4 linked regions of the Sus scrofa genome follow. The main gene of each other region encodes a partner of the protein of the gene in region 2 in a complex. Links are inferred from orthologs where the notes say so. Each region holds a gene or a part of one and is shown on either strand. Other genes may lie near its edges. The genes, in order: CHCHD3, IMMT, APOO and APOOL.

What was found.
Region 1: IMMT (region 2) and CHCHD3 share a complex: the UniProt entries of both Homo sapiens proteins name them as parts of the mitochondrial contact site and cristae organizing system (MICOS) complex. The link is inferred for Sus scrofa from reciprocal best matches to the Homo sapiens genes IMMT and CHCHD3.
Region 3: IMMT (region 2) and APOO share a complex: the UniProt entries of both Homo sapiens proteins name them as parts of the mitochondrial contact site and cristae organizing system (MICOS) complex. The link is inferred for Sus scrofa from reciprocal best matches to the Homo sapiens genes IMMT and APOO.
Region 4: IMMT (region 2) and APOOL share a complex: the UniProt entries of both Homo sapiens proteins name them as parts of the mitochondrial contact site and cristae organizing system (MICOS) complex. The link is inferred for Sus scrofa from reciprocal best matches to the Homo sapiens genes IMMT and APOOL.

What each region holds. Positions count from the first base shown.
Region 1 is NC_010460.4:16,310,597-16,315,406, reverse strand, and holds part of CHCHD3 (MICOS complex subunit MIC19), read right to left. Parts: intron 1,635-4,810; coding exon 1,499-1,634; intron 1-1,498. UniProt on the Homo sapiens protein: Component of the MICOS complex, a large protein complex of the mitochondrial inner membrane that plays crucial roles in the maintenance of crista junctions, inner membrane architecture, and formation of contact sites to the outer membrane.
Region 2 is NC_010445.4:58,591,748-58,596,557, forward strand, and holds part of IMMT (MICOS complex subunit MIC60), read left to right. Parts: intron 1-1,868; coding exon 1,869-1,942; intron 1,943-3,832; coding exon 3,833-4,022; intron 4,023-4,810. UniProt on the Homo sapiens protein: Component of the MICOS complex, a large protein complex of the mitochondrial inner membrane that plays crucial roles in the maintenance of crista junctions, inner membrane architecture, and formation of contact sites to the outer membrane.
Region 3 is NC_010461.5:20,014,454-20,019,923, forward strand, and holds the start of APOO (MICOS complex subunit MIC26), read right to left. Parts: upstream 3,332-5,470; 5' UTR 3,080-3,331; coding exon 3,071-3,079; intron 1-3,070. UniProt on the Homo sapiens protein: Component of the MICOS complex, a large protein complex of the mitochondrial inner membrane that plays crucial roles in the maintenance of crista junctions, inner membrane architecture, and formation of contact sites to the outer membrane.
Region 4 is NC_010461.5:68,326,249-68,331,058, reverse strand, and holds part of APOOL (MICOS complex subunit MIC27), read right to left. Parts: intron 3,806-4,810; coding exon 3,686-3,805; intron 727-3,685; coding exon 672-726; intron 1-671. UniProt on the Homo sapiens protein: Component of the MICOS complex, a large protein complex of the mitochondrial inner membrane that plays crucial roles in the maintenance of crista junctions, inner membrane architecture, and formation of contact sites to the outer membrane.

The sequences.
Region 1 (4,810 bases), on a different chromosome or scaffold from region 2:
GTGGCATATTTGATTTTGTCACAAGTTACCTCTGTTTTATTCTGTAAATGCACACTGTTGATCTCATGGGGCTACGTAGAGATAGGTCAACACACTTGACAATCAGGATGGAGTCCACTCCAGACACCACTACAGGTGCTCCTGCAGTAATGTTAGCAGTCACGCTGGAGACACAGGCACCTACGTTACCAGACACTAGCGCTGGACACACACTTAGTCACCACCATTCTGTGCACTGACCACCTCCCCCACTCAAGAGAGCACTAACATCACACGGTCAAAGTCCTCACGGTTCCACATGCTTCAGTTACTGTCAATACTGAAGGCTGGAGGTGGTCAAGAGCAAATCAGAAGCTGTTTTTGAAAATTAAAATGTACTAACTTAACATTAGCAACATTACTTTTACCAAAGGCCTCAGAAGAGCGGAATCCCTGGCATACCACTAAGTTATGTAGGTGTTGTATAAGCAAGAAACAGAAAAAAGCCTCAAGCCACAAGGCTTTTAAAGACAACACAAGCCTTTACTCTATTTTGGTTTTAGTTTTTTCTACCAGTGTCGCTGTTATTTTCCAGCTATCTAGACAATACTGACCCTCCCACTAGATATTTATGGTGATAGAAATTTATATTAAGCGGCATTCTCATAACTACAGCAAATTAGACCACAGGAAGGCATGCTGTGCAACTCAAACACTAAATTCAGTTGGGTTGGAAGGTCAACTATAGGGAGTTTGTCAGCACAAAGAACCAAGGTTTCCAACAATTTCCATCTCTCAGAAAAACCTATATCCAACTGTTACAATCAGTTAAATGATAGGCAATTATGTGACCTGCCAAATGGATATTTTGCTTCAGGGTTTATCATTAGCTTTCTGAAGTACATAAATTACAGAAAAATACATGTCCCATGATCATCATATTACTCTGACAGGAAGGATCATAAGAATATATCCATGGTACACAGAAGCGACGGATATCGCTTCCTAAATCCATCTCCGGCCTCTCTTTCCCTGCCCAACTGACTGGACTCCACCAATTAGTAAAAGACTGAATGATGCTAGCATGGTGGGCTTTTGTTTTAGTTTGAGTGTTTGCCTTTTGTTTGTTTTAAAACAGGCTCTAGCTGTCTCTAGATCTGAAGCTGCTGGCCCAGTATGGGGCAATGACCTTGAGGACACAATTACTGAGTAGAGGACAAAAGTTCAGAGCAACTGGAAAAGGCATTATTTACAGATTTTTAAAAATTTATTTACTTATTTATTTATTTACTTATTTGTTTCTGGGAGTAAGTTGAACACAAGGAGACTGTGGGCTCTTTCTACAACTACCCAAATGAAAGTTGGTTAGGACCTAACCAAGTCTTGATAGCAACCCTTGAAGGTGACAACTAGTTTGGCTTTTAAAGCTTTTCCATACATATTAGCCTAGTGCGCCCTTCCGAGTGCCCTTGGGCTTTCTGTTCCTCTGACGCCCAGTGAGCCTGGCTTGCACACCTACCTGTTTGGCCTGATTGACACAGCGCATGTACTCGCTGGCCAGAGCGGAGCAGCTGAGGGTCTGCTGGGTGTTCTGGCGGTAACACTGGAGAATCTGGGCCTGCAGGTCGGCACAGACGGGATGGCATTCATACCGCCTGAAAACAAAAACACAGACCACTGAGACAACCGGTCTTCAACCAGAATAAAGATAAAGACCAAAGAAGAGACAAAACAGTAAATGGATATAAATGTTGCAAATGCCACAAAAAAGTTTAAGAGAAATCGTTTTCTTCAACTTTTTTTTTTTAATTCGGCCGTGCCCACAGCACATAGAAGTTCCTGGGCCAGGGATCCAACTCACTGCGACCCAAGCTGCTGCAGGGACAAGGCCAGATCCTTAACCTGCTGCGCCACAAGGGCATACCTCTTCAACTTTTAGATGATTTCTGTGAAATCAGTTCTATTAATCGATGCCACCAAGAGACTCTGGATAGTGTCAACATCCCTACCTGACCTGAAACGTAACCATGTGCATTCAGCCCAGCCAGCCAGATCAGCGAGTGGGAGCGCCAAGGTGCTCCTCCATTCCCACTCCAGTTGGTCAGGAAGCTTGAGAACCTGCAGTCCAGTCCTCTTTCACGTATTCATTGTCATCACATTAATTCCGAATCACTTATATCCTGGATTCAAGCCATGACCTCCACAGGTCTCTCTGTCTCTAAGCTTTCACCATCTATTCCTGCCCCCCAGAAGGTTCTTTGTAATATATCAATCTGAGATAGTACCTGCTTTCTAAGTAAAATACAAGATCAACAAGCAGGTCCTTCTGGATCCATTTCTGCCTACTCTTTCACCTCAGTGCACCACCCTGCACGGGCTACAGCCCAGCCAGACCCTGTTCAGGGTTTGGTTCTTACATGTCCCTTTGCACCTTTGATATACTCCTCTTGAGTTTGGAAGTGCTCTGCACCCAAACCCTCACCCATTTCTAGGTATCTCAATACCTGAGCTAAGTACTAGAGTGTCACTTCCTCCCTAGAACTCTCACTAGCTCTCCCCATCCACAGTAGAGTCCCCTTTATGGTGATCCTATGAACTCCTTTCACCATGCACTTAGCACTCACTACATTACAGTCCAGTGCAATTTACTAGCATGCCAATCCCAGGTAGTAAGGACTGCAATTTGTTTTTTGTTTCTGGTCCTTTCAGGGCTGCACTCGCGGCATATGGAGGTTCCCAGGCTAGGGGTCTAATGGGAGCTGTTGCCACCAGCCTACGCCAGAGCCATAGCAACACCAGATCCGAGCTGCGCCTGAGACCTACACTGCAGCTCACGGCAACGCCGGATCCTTAACCCAGGAACTTCTATGTGCTGTGGGCATGGCCAGGAATCGAACCCGCATTCTCATGGATCCTAGTCGGGTAGTTAACCGTTGAACCATGAAGGGAACTCCATGCATCTTATTTGTGATCTCAGCTATCAACACAGATACCTCTAATAAATGTCATGCAATAAATCGTTGAGAATACCAATGGGTGTAGAGAGTATTTTTTTTTAGTTCCCTGAGCTAAAATTTTACTAATTATACTTACAGATCTCAAGATTTTAGTTAGATAGCTTTCAGTGAATATGCAGTACTGGACAAAAATGCTTCCAAAAAGCTGATAATGTACACTTAAAAAATGATAATAAACCAAATGCATTATACAAACAAAAATGAAATATTCTTGTGAAAATGGTAGAAGAACTTTGATTAGAAGGACTAAATACCCAGGAAAAAAATGTTATTATCAGCACTTTAATCTAGATTTCATAATTTTCAAATTAGTTTTGTTTAATGAAGTGGTTTCAGCCTTTCTTATCACTTTTTTGAAACTTAAATTTGTTATTTCCACAGTAATCTTGAAAATAGCATTATTTTAAATTCGATGGGCTCTTAAAAACCCCTAGAGAACACAGGAGAAATATTTCACATCAATAAGGAAACCCCTGGGTGACGATTTGTCTCCTCATTACTTTTATCCAACACACTAAGCTAATATATATATTTTGCTAGAATAGAAAACTGAAATGCAAACCATGTTACTGGCCCCTAAGGGAATTTATTTCCTACTACCCTCTAAAAAAGAAGCCGACAGAGAGAGAGAAAAATATAATCCCACAAGTTTTATACAACATTGCTTGCACTTTTTCACTCATTACCTTACTGTTTTGCCAAATACCTACTACCAGAATTTAAATCCAATCCCAGGAGTTTCAACGCACTTTAAAATTCTGAAGTTCAGATTTCTATGAATTCCTCCAGACATGGATTTCCCTAATACCCTACCATGAACACCAGCATCTGTGCTTCGAGGGGTAGAAGCATAGACGTGACACTAAGTGACTGATTACCGCAAGATGCACATCTGCACAAATACTGAATAAAACAGGATTATGCACCAGGTCAGCTGATCCTAGCACATATAGGACTAATAATGTCTGTAAGAGTTCATAAGGAAGCAGGGGTATATTCTATCTCATTCCCCCCAATATAACTTAGATTTAAAGCAGGGGAAAGGAGATGAGAGAGAAGGCGAGAACCATCCCGACCAGATACGCAGCCCCTCCCCACTAACACACAGGAAAAAACTGTAAAGAATGAGCCTCCACACGCTGCTCATCACAAAGAAGACACTGTGTGGTTTCTTGGTTTTTTTTTTCCCCTCCTGAAAAGACTATTCACAGGGGGTTCACTCATCTAATACTATGAACTCCTTAGAACGAGGTAATTTAAGTTACATGTAAGCATTTACCCTGGGTTGAGCGATGAGTCATGCAAGTTAAAGTCCATGAGTTATTTATGATTTGAAATGTGTCAAAATATACTTTTATCACCACAAATCAATACGACTCACTTCCAGGACCCGTGATTTCCTGTATGGTAATCTGTTCTGTGTGAGTGTGTGTGTGTGTGTGCGCGTGCTTGTGCACGCGAGCAGACATCTTCTGAAATCCTTTTTGTACACATCTCAGCTATACGGATGATTAGATGGTAGGATGGGGGAAGAAGTGTGGAAATCAACATTAACTGCCTTCCAGTTCCTGGACTAGACTCTGGTACATTTTGCTTGGATTAATCTGTTAGGGCAAAGCCCTGCCTCTGTATTGATCTGCAGTGCTTGTTATGCTGCCCTAATGCATGGTTTTCACTTTGGGAAAATGCTAAATGAGATTACCATCTAACATTAGAAGGCCATAAAACCCCAAGCCTCGCACCTTCCATTCAGGAAAAGGGTTTCAAAGACATTTCCAATATGCATTATGGTAAACCCTCCATATAGTCATTGA
Region 2 (4,810 bases):
TAAAAAAAAGACTCAGAACAAACTAGTGATTGATTACCAGTGGGGAGGGTGGAGGGGCAAAATAGGGGTAGGAGATTAAGAGGTACAAACTTATGCATAAAATAAACTTCAAGGATATATTGTACAGCACAGAGAATATAGCCAGTATTTTCTAATAACTATAAGTGGGGTATAACATTTAAAAATTGTGATAGTAAGTTGTACACCTGAAACTTATATAATGTATATTAACTATACCTCAGTAAGAGAAAAGTATTAATTGCTGATCATCTGATAGTCTCTTTTTATTTTTATTTATTTATTTATTTTTTATTTTTTTGTCTTTTTGCCTTATCTAGAGCCACTCCCATGGCATACGGAGGTTTCCAGGCTAGGGGTTTAATCAGAGCTGTAGCCACTGGCTTACGCCAGAGCCACAGCAACATGGGATCCAAGTCATGTCTGCAACCTACACCACAGCTCACGGCAACGCTGGATCTTTAACCCACTGAGCAAGGCCAGGGATCGAACCCGCAGCGTCATGGTTCCTAGTCAAATTCATTTACCACTGTGCCATGATGGGAACTCCTGATAGTCTCTTTTTTAAATTTAAAAACTTTTTTTTTTTCCTTTTTACAGGTACACATGTGGTATGTGCAAGTTCCTAGGCTAGGGATAGAATTGGAGCTGTAGCTGCCGGCCTACACCACAGCCACAGTAATATGGTACTCAAGCTGCATCCAAGACCTATGCCCACAGCTTGTGGCAATGCCAGATCCTTAACCCACAGAGTGAGGCCAGGGATCGAACCTGCATACTCATGAATGTTAGTTGGATTCTTAATTCACTGAGCCACAATGGGACCTCCCTGATACTTTCTTTTTTTGAGATCTTGAAAGTAATTTTATGAGTCTTGAGGTGCAGGAAACATCACTGGTGTTTTTTGTGGGTTTTTTTTGTTTGTTTTTTGTCTTTTTTTTAGGGCCACACCTGTGGCCTGTGGAGGTTCCCAGGCTAGGGTCTAATTGGAGCCGTAGCTGCCAGCCTACACCACAGCCACAGCAATGCCAATCCAAGCCAAATCTGCGACCTACACCACAGCTCAGGGCAACGCTGGATCCTTAGTCCACTGAGCGAGGCCAGGGATTGAACCTGCAACCTCATGGTTCCTAGTTGGATTTGTTTCCACCGTGCCATGACAGGAACTCCCAGCATCACTGTTTTTAAGGGTCTTTATTCCATGGTAAATTGGTTTCTGAAAATAAATTTTTGTTGGAGTTCCCATCATGGCTTAGCAGTTAATGAACCTGACTAGCATCCATGAGGATGTGGGTTCGATCCCTGGCCTCACTCAGTGGGTTAAGGATCTGGCGTTGCCGTGAGCTGTGGTGTAGGTCTCAGATGCGGCTCAGATTCCTAGTTGCTGTGGTTGTGGTGTAGGCTGGCAGCTACAGCTCCAATTTGACCCCTGGCCTGGGAACCTCCATATGCCGTGTGTGTGGCTTAAAGACAAAAACAAACAAAACAATTAAAAAAAAAACGTTCTGTTTAATGAAGACTTTTATAATAAAAGTATTGCTTTTGAGTTCCTAGCCCTAAAAGCCTCCCAGATTCCTATGACTGTATTTTTTTTTTTTTTTTTTTCTTTTGGTCTTTTCTAGGGCCGCTCCCGAGGCATATGGAGGTTCCCAGGCTAGGGGTCTAATCGGAGCTGTTGCTGCTGGCCTATGCCACAGCCACAGCAACGCCGGATCCTTATCCCACTGAGCAAGGGCAGGGATCAAACCTGCAACTTCGATAGTTCCTAGTTGGATTCGTTAGCCACTGAGCCACGACGGGAACTCCTCCTACGACTGTATTGATTGTGCTGTTTCCTCCTTCTTCTCTAGAGTTGTCTCTGTGGGAAGTTTGTCCTCCGTCCACTCCGACCATGCCGCAGATACTCCACCTCAGGCAGTTCCCGGTATGTAGTATATCTCCCTATACACAGACTTTTTAATTGTGTGCTAAGGGTGTGTGTCTCTGTGTGTGTGTTTCTTGAATATGGAAATATCTGCTTAATTTTTTTTTTTTTTTTTTTTTTTGTCTTTTTGCCTTTTCTAGGGTGCTCCTTCAGCATATGGAGGTTCCCAGGGTAGGGGTCTAATTGGAGCTGTAGCCATCGGCCTACGCCAGAGCCACAGAAACGTGGGATCCGAGCTGCATCTTTGACCTACACCACAGCTCACAGCAACGTTGGATGCTTAACCCACTGAGTGAGACCGGGAATCAAACCAGCAACTTCATGGTTCCTAGTTGGACTTGTTAACCATTGAGCCACAGCGGGAACGCCAAAAATTTTTTAAAGGGGTACACACATTGGAACTTTGCCATAATATCTTTGGAGCATCACTTATTTGTAGGTAAAAATTTGTTATGGTGTGCCTTTTGGTTCTTTGCTGATTGGATGAAATTCAGGGTAGAGACCCTAGCCCCCCCATCCCCTCCTGTGCTGTCTTCCATTCTATGGCAAATAGATTTAGATTTATACCCAGAACTCAGCAGGTTGGAAATTAAAAGTATTTGTTCTCCTTGACGTTCATTTTATTGTATTTACAGAAATGTGTTTTTGGGTTTTTTTTGTTTGTTTTTTGCTGTTCCCAAGGCATGTGGATCAAACACATGCATGTGGGCTAGGGATCAAACCCACACCACAGCAGTGACAATACTGCATTCTTTTTGTTTTGTTTTGTTTTGTTTTGCTGCACCCTCATCGTATGGAAGATCCCAGGTCAGGGATCAAATCCAAGCCATAGCTGGCAACACCAGATTCTTAACACATTGCGCCTGTCTGAGGATCAAACCCATGCTTCTCCAGCGACCGGAGCTGCTGCAGTTGGATCCTTAACCACTGTGCCACAGTGGGAACTATAACACCAGATTCTTAACCTGCTATGCCACCAGAGAATTTCCTACAGAAATGGTTAATAAGGGGGAGGACTTTTTTTTTAAGGCCATACCCATAGCATATGGAAGATCCTGTGCCAGGGATTGAATCCAAGCCACAACTGCAGCAATGCTGGATCCTTTAACCCACTGTGCTGGGCTGAGTATCAAACCTGTGGCTTCGTAGCAACCCGAGCTATTATAAGTTGGATTCTTTTTTTTTTTTTTTGTCTTTTTAGGGGTGTGCCCCTGGCATATGTAGGTTCCCAGGCTAAGGGTTGAATTGGAACTGTGGTTGCCAGCCTATGCCATAGCCACAGCAGTGCCAGATCCGAGCCACATCTGCAACCTACACCACAACTCAGGGTAGCACTGGATCCGTAACCCACTAAGCTAGGCCAGGGATCAAACCTGCATCCTCATGGATACTAGTCAGGTTTGTTTCTGCTGAGCCATGACGGGAACTCCTATAGTTGAATTCTTAACCCACTGCGCCACAGCAGGAACTCCAGGGAAAGGAGCTTTGAAGATTAGTGATACTTGTTTTTTGAGTTCAGAGGAAACTTCATGACTGTGAACATGCTAAGTTTTAAGTATTAAAGGGCAAATTGCTTGGTTTTTCCTGTACCGGATATTACTATTTAAAAAAAAAAAATTCCACAAGTAAAAAATAAGCATTTTTTAAAAATTATGAACATGTTAAAATCAAATCAGGTAATACAACATTGTGAATCAACTATACTTCAATAAAAGTTTTTTAAAAAATGAGTGAAAGGTGATTGTAGCTGTGGTGATAAACTGGGCTGCTGTCATCTGAATCAGCGGTAGAGAATTACAGGCCCGAGGTCTTTGAGACTCTTATTGGTCTAGGGAAGTACGTTTAAGAGAACTGAAAAACAAAAATGTGTTTCCTATTTCTTTCACTTAGGTTGTCTCCTGGCAAAATTGCCGGCGCTGGCATTTTATTCGTTGGTGGTGGTATTGGTGGCACTATTCTGTATGCCAAATGGGATTCGCATTTCCGGACAAATGTAGAGAAAACCATACCTTATTCAGACAAACTCTTTGAAATGGTTCTTGGTTCCCCACCTTATACTGTTCCATTACCAAAGAAGTCGGTAAGAGTTTTAAGAACAGTTTCAGTTTATCCTATGGTATACTTTGAAAAGCAGGTTGTTTTCATATTAAAAATATTTTGTATGTATAGTTCAGTAGAATTTTCTGGGTATATGTTTGTCATTTTTCTTTAAATTGACCTAATATTATGTTGAGCTGGATTCCCTTTGGAGTCCTATAAGTGCTCTCATTTAGTCCACGCCACATAGAAAAAAATTATATGGCACACCAGGCTAAATGGAATGGTGAGCTCAGGCAGAGCTTATTATAGTGAGCATGCATTTCATAAGTTAAAATAATGAAACTTAAATAAAAATAAAATAGATATTGTTCTTTTGTTTTCTTTTTTCTTTGTCTTTTTAGGGCCACACCCATGGCATATGGAAGTTCCAGGCTTGGGGTCCAGTCAGAGCTGCAGCTGCCAACCTATGCCACAGCCCCAGCAATGCGAGATCTCTTCTGTTTCTGTGACCTACACCACAGCTCACGGCAATGCTGGATCCTCAACCCACTGAGTGAGGCCAGGGATCGTGGATACTAGTCGGGTTCTTAACCTGCCAGGCCACATCGGGAACTCCTAGATATATTTCTAATTTTCAGTAGTGACAAAATTCAGAACCTATTCTGTTACGTCTGAGTGGTCGTCTTTGGGACCTCTGAGTCCCAATGCCAATTTCTGGCAAAAAGGGGGACAACATAGGCAGTAAATGAAAATATTTCTTTTACTCAGTAATTTTCTCTGGTACATTATCTAGCAGTCCTGTTCATGAACAGTGCCTTAAATTAGGTG
Region 3 (5,470 bases), on a different chromosome or scaffold from region 2:
AGTTGGATTTTCCCACCTGAGAGCATTCTAACATAGCCTGCCCTTGAAACTTCCCTCCCTTAATTGTTTAAACATCACTCTGGTGCTCCTACTTCTACTTATCAGGTTGCTTCTCAAAATCTCTGGGCTCCCCTCTTCCTCATACTCCTCCTTAAATTTTGGTATCCAACAAGGTCTGCTGTGAGCTTTTCGACTCAAAGTACATGTTTCAACAATTTCAGCTCCCTTTATCTTTCCCTTGATACAGAAGAACTGATCTACCAGCACTTCCCCCATGGAGTACCACTGCTGCTGTTCCGTGGCTCATCCACCTGAGGAACTCCTGGCTTTCAAAACTTGCCTCACCTGAAGTCCCCAGGGGTTCATTGCCTTTTTTGTGCCACCATCTTCTTTGGCAGTCTGGTAAGCCCTAGGGACCCCTTCTCAAAATAATGCTTCTAACTGCATTTTATAAATGCCAATTATATTGCAATATAGTTGTTTTTAAAACCCCAAATCTGATATAGTAATGTGTACTTCTTTATTAGCTCTTTAAGTTAAAAAAACCTATTAGAGAGTCTTATAACTACTATAATCTTTTTCTTTTTCTTTTTTTTTTTTTTTTTTTGTCTTTTTGCCATTTCTTGGGCCGCTCCGGCGGCATATGGAGGTTCCCAGGCTAGGGGTCCAATTGGAGCTGTAGCCACCAGCCTACGCCAGAGCCACAGCAACGCAGGATCCGAGCCGCGTCTGCGAGCTACACCACAGCTCACGGCAACGCCGGATCGTTAACCCACTGAGCAAGGGCAGGGATCGAACCAGCAACCTCATGGTTCCTAGTCGGATTGTTACCACTACGCCACGACGGGAAGTCCCATAACTACTATAATCTTAAAGCAGTGATAAGCATAAATATCTTGAGATCTGGAACCACTGTAATGTGATATGAAAATGTCTGTGACATGCATTGGTCCTGCTGACTTCTATTGGTGACTACCACTAGTTTGTGGCTGTAGTAACTTAATTAATTGCTCCCCATGAACCACATGTTCTCGTATCTGTGCTGTTCTGTAACCTCACACCATACTGACTCGGGCCTTGGCCATGTGACTTGTTTTGACATCAGCAAATGCGATATAAGCATGTGTTTATGCACCGGGACTAGGCTTCTTAGAACCCAGTAACCATGTAAGGGAGCCCAAAACAGCCACATTGAGGGGCCCCAGGCCCACTGATATGAGAGTAAGGCTACCTCATAGTATAGCCACCAGTTGAATTCTGTCACTAGAGGATGCCGGCAGAACTGTCCAGACAACCTATAGATGGTGAGAAGTAATAAATCACTGTTGTTTTAAGGTCATTATCTGGAAACTGGTAATTGAAACTGTTAACCTACATTCATAACTGAAAGAAATGCTAAATTTCAGCAGATTAATGAAACTGATTTTTTTTTTCCCTGCCAGAATTTAAAGATCCTCTTAATTCTATCCAGACCTTCTAAGGGGCCAAGAACCACAGCTTAAGAACCCTTGGTAAAACAGAGGAGATGATACTCTCCTTTTCACCACCACAGAACACTGCTGATAACCATATGAAATGATCACAGCATACTCTTTATTGTCGCAACACAGTGTACCCTTTGTTGTTGCAACCCTCAAACTAAGCCAGGCTCCTAGCACATAATAGGTATTCAACACAAATTTATCAAACAAAACCAAGTTGCTTATGAGATCTGTTGTCCTAACTAAACTGTGAGCTACCTGAAAACAAAATAAAAGCAAATACCTGGATGTCACTTCTATGTGCCAGGGCCTCTTACAAATTCTTTACACATACTAACTTATTTATTCCTTATAACAAGCCTACAGGTAAATGTTGTTTCCCTAACTTCACCAATAAAAAAACAGGCTCAGAGAGGTTAAGTGACTTGCTCAAGGTCACACATCTAGAACGTGGCAACTCCAGGAATGGAAGGCCAAACCCACATTCTGACTTTAGAGCCTGTCCCAGTGTACCCAAAGCACGTTGTAGGCACTCAATAAAACTTTTAAGGAGTTCCCGTCGTGGCTCAGGGGTAAACGAATCCGACTAGGAACTATGAGGTTTCAGGTTCGATCCCTGGCCTTGCTCAGTAGATTAAGGATCCTGAGTTGCCCTGAGCTATGGTGTAGGTCGCAGACGCGGCTCAGGTCCCGTTGCTGTGGCTATGGCGTAGACCGGCAGCTACAGCTCTGATTAGACCCCTCGCCTGGGAACCTCCATATGCCACAGGAGCGGCCCTGGAAAAAGGCAAAAAAAAAAAAAAAAAAAAAAAAAACACTTTTAAATGAGTAGTATAATTCTGAGATTTCATTAGCAGTCTTTTATGGGTACAATGCTTCTTGACTCAATTTTGTAGACTCATTTCTGGTAGCTTGCGATTTGTTCTTCATTATAAAAAATATCATTTACTTTTTTTGAAGGAGAATAATGGCTTCATGTTAAAATGCAGATTTTCGAAACAGTCTTCACTGTAAAAGTCTTTCAAAGGACACGAGTTCAAAAACTGTAAAGAAGGGGCTCGACCTGTCCATACTATATAATGTTCACTGGGGAGGAGAAAGTCCAGCTTCTTCCCCTAACCCAGCCGTTCCATTCCCATGCCAGTCTCCCCGACTTCCTGCAGGAGCTTCGCCGAAGGTGACCTCCCCCATTCATACCAGGTTCTAAAACCTGACCTTGCCCGGCACAACCAAAGCCGAACCCCGCGGTGCCCTAAGCTGGCCTAACCCTACTCACGAACTCAAGAGGGCACCAGCCAGAGTGTGGATACTGTGAGGGATACTTTAACTTTTTAAAACATTTTATTCCCGAGAGCACGACCAAAGGGCCCAACCCACCACCCTCGAATCTCCCGCCTCCTGTGCCTCAACCGCAAACTCCAGGCGGACCGGTGAATGACCCTCGGGACCGGGACACAGGCAGCCCGGAGGCGGGAAAAGCCTCAAAGCGAGCCAGTTCTGGTTCCCAGAGAGGCCCAAAAGAGCGCGGGGAGAGCTGCAGGCGGCCGGGAAGGGGCGGTGACAGTTGTGACCCGGCTCGACACTCTCACCTTGAACATGTCGCTGGCAGCGGCGGCTCCGGCGGGGTCACCCGGCCTCGGCCACGCCCACTATAGAGAGGTAACTACGGCGGCCGATTAGGGCCCGATTCCTCCGACCGCAAGCGGGCCGCGGTGCGGGTAACAGGCGTACAGCCAATTCGATCCCGCTAAGGCTTAACTCGGAAGCTTGGGCTGCTAGCAGCGTCGTTGAGCTGCAGCGCGTCGCGCCTCAGGCGGCGAACACAAGCCCCGCCTTCCGGAGGCTCCGCCCCTGCGCCGGCGGTTGCTAGGCGGCGGGAAAGCGCCAGCTCAGTGTGGGCGGCACGCGGGGGCGCTAGGAGGGAGGCGCCGAGCGCAGAGCCGTGCTGGGAATTGGCCTTCGCCGCCGTGATTGGGCGCCAGCAGCGTGGGTTGGGAAGCCTGTGTGCGGAGGCCGCCGGGCGGGGGCGCTCGGCAGGCCTCTGGTGGCTTCGAAAGCCTCGCAGCCGGAAGCTACCGACCTCGGGGGCCTGGATTTACCTCACAAAAGGTTTTTAGTTTTGTGGGGTTTTTTTTTTCACCCTTGTTTAGCCATTTCCAAGATTTTAAATTTAAACTAATTTGCCTTGTCCTTTAGTCTTGAAAGAGCCCGACATTTTTTTCTTCTTTAAAATGCTTAAGCGTATGTTTCTCACAGGGAATCAAATGTTTGTCCTTTAATTAGAGTAGAAATAAGTAATAATGACAAAAATTATCTTATTAACAAGAATAGCAACCACCAACAGCGTTTACTATGTAACTTGCTCTGATGTAAACTCCTTACACATACTCTTCTTTCCAACAACCCAAGTAGGTGGGCACGATTATTATCTCCCGTCAAATACATGAAGAAACCGAGGCTCAGAGAAGTAATATGTGGAAGGTCATACAGAAGGAAAGTGGGAAGCCAGGATTCAAACCTCAGTAGCCTGGCTTTAAAGCCTGTGATCGCAAGTAAACAACTGTTGTAGTGTCTCATACCGGGGTTGTATTTCATGTTTCATTCTGTATTTCATTCTAATCCCGCAGCAAATGTAAGCCCATCCGGGGCAGGCATCCAGAAGATTTTGGGAGTTTGGTGCGGTGTCACTGCTCTCCAGCCAAGATCACTAAGAATACTGTAGTTGAACAAGCTGAGTTCATTTCTCTTTGGTGCCAGGAGAACGCACCCTTGGGAAACGGTGGGGCATCTCAGTAAGAGGGTGTTAGATTTATTCTAGGATTTGGGGCTTTGGTTGGGGGGTTTGCGGGTGAGTTCAGGGAAGCGAGTCCTTGTTCTGGATTGGGTGGTGCTAGGAAGCCAGGGCTAACACGAAAGCCCAGGTGTGGGTGCCAGGCCAGCTCCCAGATGTTAAGGGCTACTTTTCTCTTTCTCAAGAGAATTGTATATCCCTAGCCTTCCCTATACCTAAGGAGAACTATTTAGGAGACTCTGAAGGCTCTGCATCAGTAATGGAATGTCATATGTGTATAAGAGTGTGACTTATAAATGGTAAGTTAGGGCAGAAATTCTTAATTCTGGAGGTACATGAACTTGGGGAAAAATTACAACTTTATTTTCACTAACCTATAACTGAACTTTAACAGTTCTTTAAATTGTGGTGTAGGTAACCACAGTAGTTCAGCGGTACCTATGACTTTGTCATCAGTAGAAAGCACAGATATTTTCATATCATATTATAGTCACAGCAGATTTCTTGAAATATCATTTCTGCTCATTACCACTTCACAAGTACTGTAATTATTAGAGCTCTCATTTTTTATTTTATTTAATGCATAAAGAAGACATTTCTATAATTTTGTTTTTGAAAATATTTTTACAATGATTTCAATATAATTGAAGTCTTTTGTAACCCTATATATTTTAGATTATGGGTTTAAAAAAACATAATTCTTATTCAATATCCCGTGTTAAACCATAATGGAAAAGAATATGAAAAAGAATATATATGTGTGTGTGTATCTGTATGTACACATATATGTGTATAACTGAATCACTTTGTTGTACAGCAGAAATTAATACAACAATGTAAATCAACTATCCTTCAATTAAACGAAAAACATAGTTCTTAGAAGGAGTTTGTCCATAGGGGTCCACAGCACCAAAAGAAAAGATAAAGAGGCCCTGGTTTAGTACAAGACACTAGGCAGTTACTAAGAATTGGAAACTGCTTCCAAATTGGAGTAATGTATCAAAGGATAGAAAATCAGAGGTGGAATCAGATCACTTACTACACATGCTCTCACTTTACTAGGCAAGGAACTGAGCTACTGAGAGATTAAGGGACTTGCCCATAGTCTCACAGATGTTCCGTGATAAAACTAGGATGAAAAGCTTTTAGAAAGCATGTAAAAACCCTCCACTCTTCTAGGCATTGGGAATTTCATAGT
Region 4 (4,810 bases), on a different chromosome or scaffold from region 2:
CATTTAAAATTTTATTTGATCCTTCCGTACCCCACACACATTTATTTTGACAACTGGCTTATAATAAGGATATTAGGAAGCTATATCTGCTGCCAAACACCATTGTCAAAGTAAAGAGTCAAATGCAATTGTTTTCCAACATTAGCTCCAATATTCTAGGGTGACTAATTGGTGTAGTCTTTCCTAGCAATCGATAGCAAAATATCATGTATTTTAACAGCAAATAGCACTTAATTAAACTAATTGATAACAATGGAGTTATGTTTCTAATTTATGCTTCATGAGTATATAATACGGGTTCTGTAGCTAAAACAGACCATAGTCCAGATGCTGTCACTTACTAGCTATATGACCTTGGTAACCTACCTAATCCTTCCAAACCCATTTCCTCATCTATAAAATGAGAATAATTATAATACCAACACTCAGGTATTTGATACAAAATTAAATTAGATATATAAAATGCTTATCATAGTGCCTTAGCGTATAATAACTGCTAAATAATGGATACTAAATAGTGCTTTGTTTATAAACTCCTATACAGGGTGTCTTCTGAGTTAGTAAAACATGATAATGGATAACATACCAAGTTAATTTTTCTGACATTTAAACCTTGCAAGTTAAAAAGACTATACAACATTTCTAATTATATTGATGGTTCACTAACTTACCTTTTCCAAATTGTACTGCATCCTTTATCCCATTTTTCATGAAGACATAAGCACTCTAAATAAAAGGGGGGAGAAAGGACATCAGCATTTTTTAAGATAATTTGATAATTAGATAATTATAAAATTTGATAATTAGATCAAACAGAACATGTCTCTGAGATTATAGGAAAATGCTGATTTAGCATGCACCCAAATCTAAATCTAGCTTTCCTATTTACTCTCTATGAGGGCACTTATTCAACTTAGCTTCTCTTCATTTGTTTTTCATTCCATTTAACATGGATAACATTTGTTTACTAATTTCCTCATATAAATGGGTAAAGCAATACCTATAAAATAATCAGAGCAGCTCACAGAAAAGTTATTGCAGAAATACAATGAGTTATCATATTAGTTTATGATAGACTAGAAAAATGAATGGAACTTAAATAAAACATGGAGATGAATATTTCAGCTTAGAAGCAATACCTGATTAATAAAGATGTGGCGGCAACAACAATGATTTGTGGAGAAAACAACAACAAAAAGCATAAAGAAAAGTACTTCATCTTCTCTTTTTCCTTAATGTGCATGAGAATGAGAAAAAACTCTAAATAAAACATTTATCTCAGGATAGAAATTATCCTATACAGACTAGTGCCCATCTTGTTTTCAGTAAGAACATAAATTCTCTATAAATCAAGATTATATTTACCCATTGGAAGGATTAGGGCTTTAAATTAAATTACCTGTTTCTAACTAACTTAAGCTAATGCCAGAAATACTGTTACACACATTTATTAAGTGATAGGTACAATCTCAATTACATTAGAAGAAATACAAAGGCAAAGAATGTTTTACCAGTGGTTAATGCCCATAGTCATGTTGTACTCTATCAATGGAACTAGAAAACACAATCCAAATACATGGTCTCCTTCTCTGAACTAGCTGCTATGAAACCATGGGATTAAAAAACAACAAAACAGATTTTCAAAGCAAAGAAAATAGAAATGATTTTATCAGACGGGAAAGAAATGTTATTGCTATAGATAGATCTTGGTATTAGTAACTGCTTCAGATATTTTCATGATAATCAAATGCAGAAGTTTATCCTGTTCATTACGGTTTAAAGCTATACAAACCAACACATATCCTAACTATTAATGAGCTACTTCTTTTAAGGGATAGGCTCTTGAGAAAATTTCACCTTCAAAGTTACAATACTTATCGACCAGTTGTCTGGGAATCATGTAACTGTTGAGGAAGAAAACTAGTCAGTTCTTTTCGGGAAATTTCTTCTTAGGTGTGTTTAGAAATTCACTTTTACCACTGGAGGTCACTGCTATCTAAATTTTAAAACAGTAAGGAGTAGGAATAGGAATTGAATTTGCCCTACATGAGTCTAAGTTTAACGCAGAATGTAATTTGAGTCAGAGGTAATTTTTAAAAAATAGATTACGTTTTTAAGATAAAATTAAAGATGAAATGCTTACATCAAAGATGAAATGCATTCTAAAGCACCCTTCTTTAACCTATTGGTTTCAGCATATTTCTGAATGATTTACCAGTAGTTAATGCCCATAGTCATGCTGTACTCTATCGATGGAACTAGAAAACACAATCCAAATACATGGTCTCCTTCTCTGAACTAGCTGCTATGAAATTTTCTATTTAACAATCTCTCGAGAACAATTTACAATCTCTCAGGAACAATTTACCTCTCTGAAACAACTTTGAGAACTTTGGAAAAAGTCTCAAGAGACTTCAGTCGGAATCATCCAGCTATTGGCATATAGCCTCGGGTACGTGACTAAGCACCTAATTAGTTAAGCTATTTCCTGCTGACCAAACTATTAAGAATATGTAGTACTAGTCAAACTATTAAGAGTGTATTAAGAGTCTATTAGAATTGTTTGACAGGCACAAATAAAAAAAAATAACACCATGTATTCATTAGATGTTTGAAATATCATCTGAAATGAGCAGAGTTCACAGATTTGATATTTCACAAAATCATTAGACTTCTCGTTTTAAAAATGAATTAGAAACAAGAAGCACAAGGGTTCACAATTGGGTAGGTCAGATTTGAGGAAAAGTTATGTGGTTATTAGGTCAGAATGAGGAAAAAAATGGTACCAGCATTATCATTATGGCACTAACAATGGAGATGTTGATGCTAACACCTATGCGGATTAGATAATAATGGAACAGTAGTATTGTACTAGCTTACTCCACCACTCTGCTGCTGGATAATGCTGATTGGAAGACTAAATATTAAAATAAGGTAAACTCTATTTTGCCCAATAGCTGACTGTAGTCAGAATGGTCTTATCCCAAGTGAACTTTTTACTCAGCCAAATAAGGAACAATACAGAATTAATCTCAGAATTTCACCTAAAAGGTCAAGCAATGTTTTATACATGCTACGTGATGTAAATGCCTGCTGAACTACTTTAATCTATGCAGTGCTGGTATAGTAGATTAAATATGGCCACAAATTCTTTGCTGCTACTCATATTGAGAGTGGGATCTAATTCCTCTCCTGTAAAAACTGGGTTGGCCTTAGAAACTTGATTCAACAATGGAATGCTGTAGAAGTGACTTTCTGGGACATCTTAAGATAGGTAAGAAGCTTGGAAAATTCTGACAAGAGTCTCTTGTAAGATTTTCACTAGGAGCCCTGAACTGTCCATGTAAGCTATCTGACTACCTGAGAGTCCAGGTGTAGGTGCCTCGATCATCTGTGACAAGGTGCCAGGGTTGAGTGAAGCTTTCTTGAATCTCTAGGTCAGCCCATTCACTTGACAAGTACCTTTGAGTGACTTCTGTCAACACCATATGCAACAAAAGAATCACCTGTTTAAAGCCTGATTATGTTTCTGACTCACAAAATCATGAGATGTAATAGAATAGTTGATGTTTAAAACCACTAAGTTTTAGGGTAGTTTGTTATACATCAATGGATAACTGGATCAATTGTTATGTAATACAAACAAAAAACCTCCAACATCAAACCACTGTTAGAATTCACTTACCTTGCACCAGCCAAGATAACGACCAGTTGTAGTGCGAATGGATGCAAAGCCCACTTGTAAACGACCAGGCTGTTCTTCAACATATTTAGACTGAAGAGGTGGTGCAGTATATATAGGGAGCTAGAAGCAAAAAAAAAAAAAAAATCATCATGTCAAAAATATACAATAGCTGGGATTTCTACTCCATTCTGAGAATTTTGTCTTGACCAATGAAAGAACATTCTCATCATGGATTGGAGGCCCTTGGCTTAAATGCCATCTACTGTATAAGTACAACTTGTTTGTACCTGATTAGACATTATAAGAGGAGTTCTCGTTATGGCTCAGCTGAAACGAACCCACGACTGGTATCCATGAGGATGCAGGTTTGATCCCTGGCCTCGAGCAGAGGGTCAGGGATCTGGTGTTGCCATGAGCTGTGGTATAAATTTCAGATGAGGCTGGGATCCCGTGTTGCTATTGCTGTGGCATAGGCCAGCAGCTGTAGCTCAGATTCAACCCCTAGCCTGGGAACTTCCATGTGCCATGCGTGTGGCCCTAAAAAGGAAAAAAAAAATTTAAGCTAAGATTCAGTAAACTAACAACATTTAAATTGAACCAAAGTAACTAGAACTCTCAAATTAATATTTCTTCCATTATTTTTTGGCTGAAAACAAGAAAACAACAAGAAAAGTCAAACTCGCATTATAGAAATACTTTAAAAAGAAACATCCAGTAATGTATGTGGTTGACTATATCCACACAACCCAACTGCCAGTTATTTTCTAGTCAGAATACTGTGAATTTTATGGTTTTATAAAAAGGTCACCTCATAGCTCTGCAGTTTTCTAAAAATGAAAGATTTAATTATATTCACTAGATGGTAATTAATAAGACCATCTTATTAATTATATAAAAGTAAAATTATATAAAAGTATATTGCTACTTTTAAAGAAGATGTCTAACAAGATGAGCTGAACTTAAAAAGGATTTTATGATTAGCCACAAGTTTACCAGAAGATTCAATTAACCAGAATACTTCATATAAAGTATTTTTTTGTAAATTGATTTAAACAAAGGCATAACTCACTTTACACAATGAAAGTACCTGGAAATATTTCATACAAATTACATTTTCATTCCTTC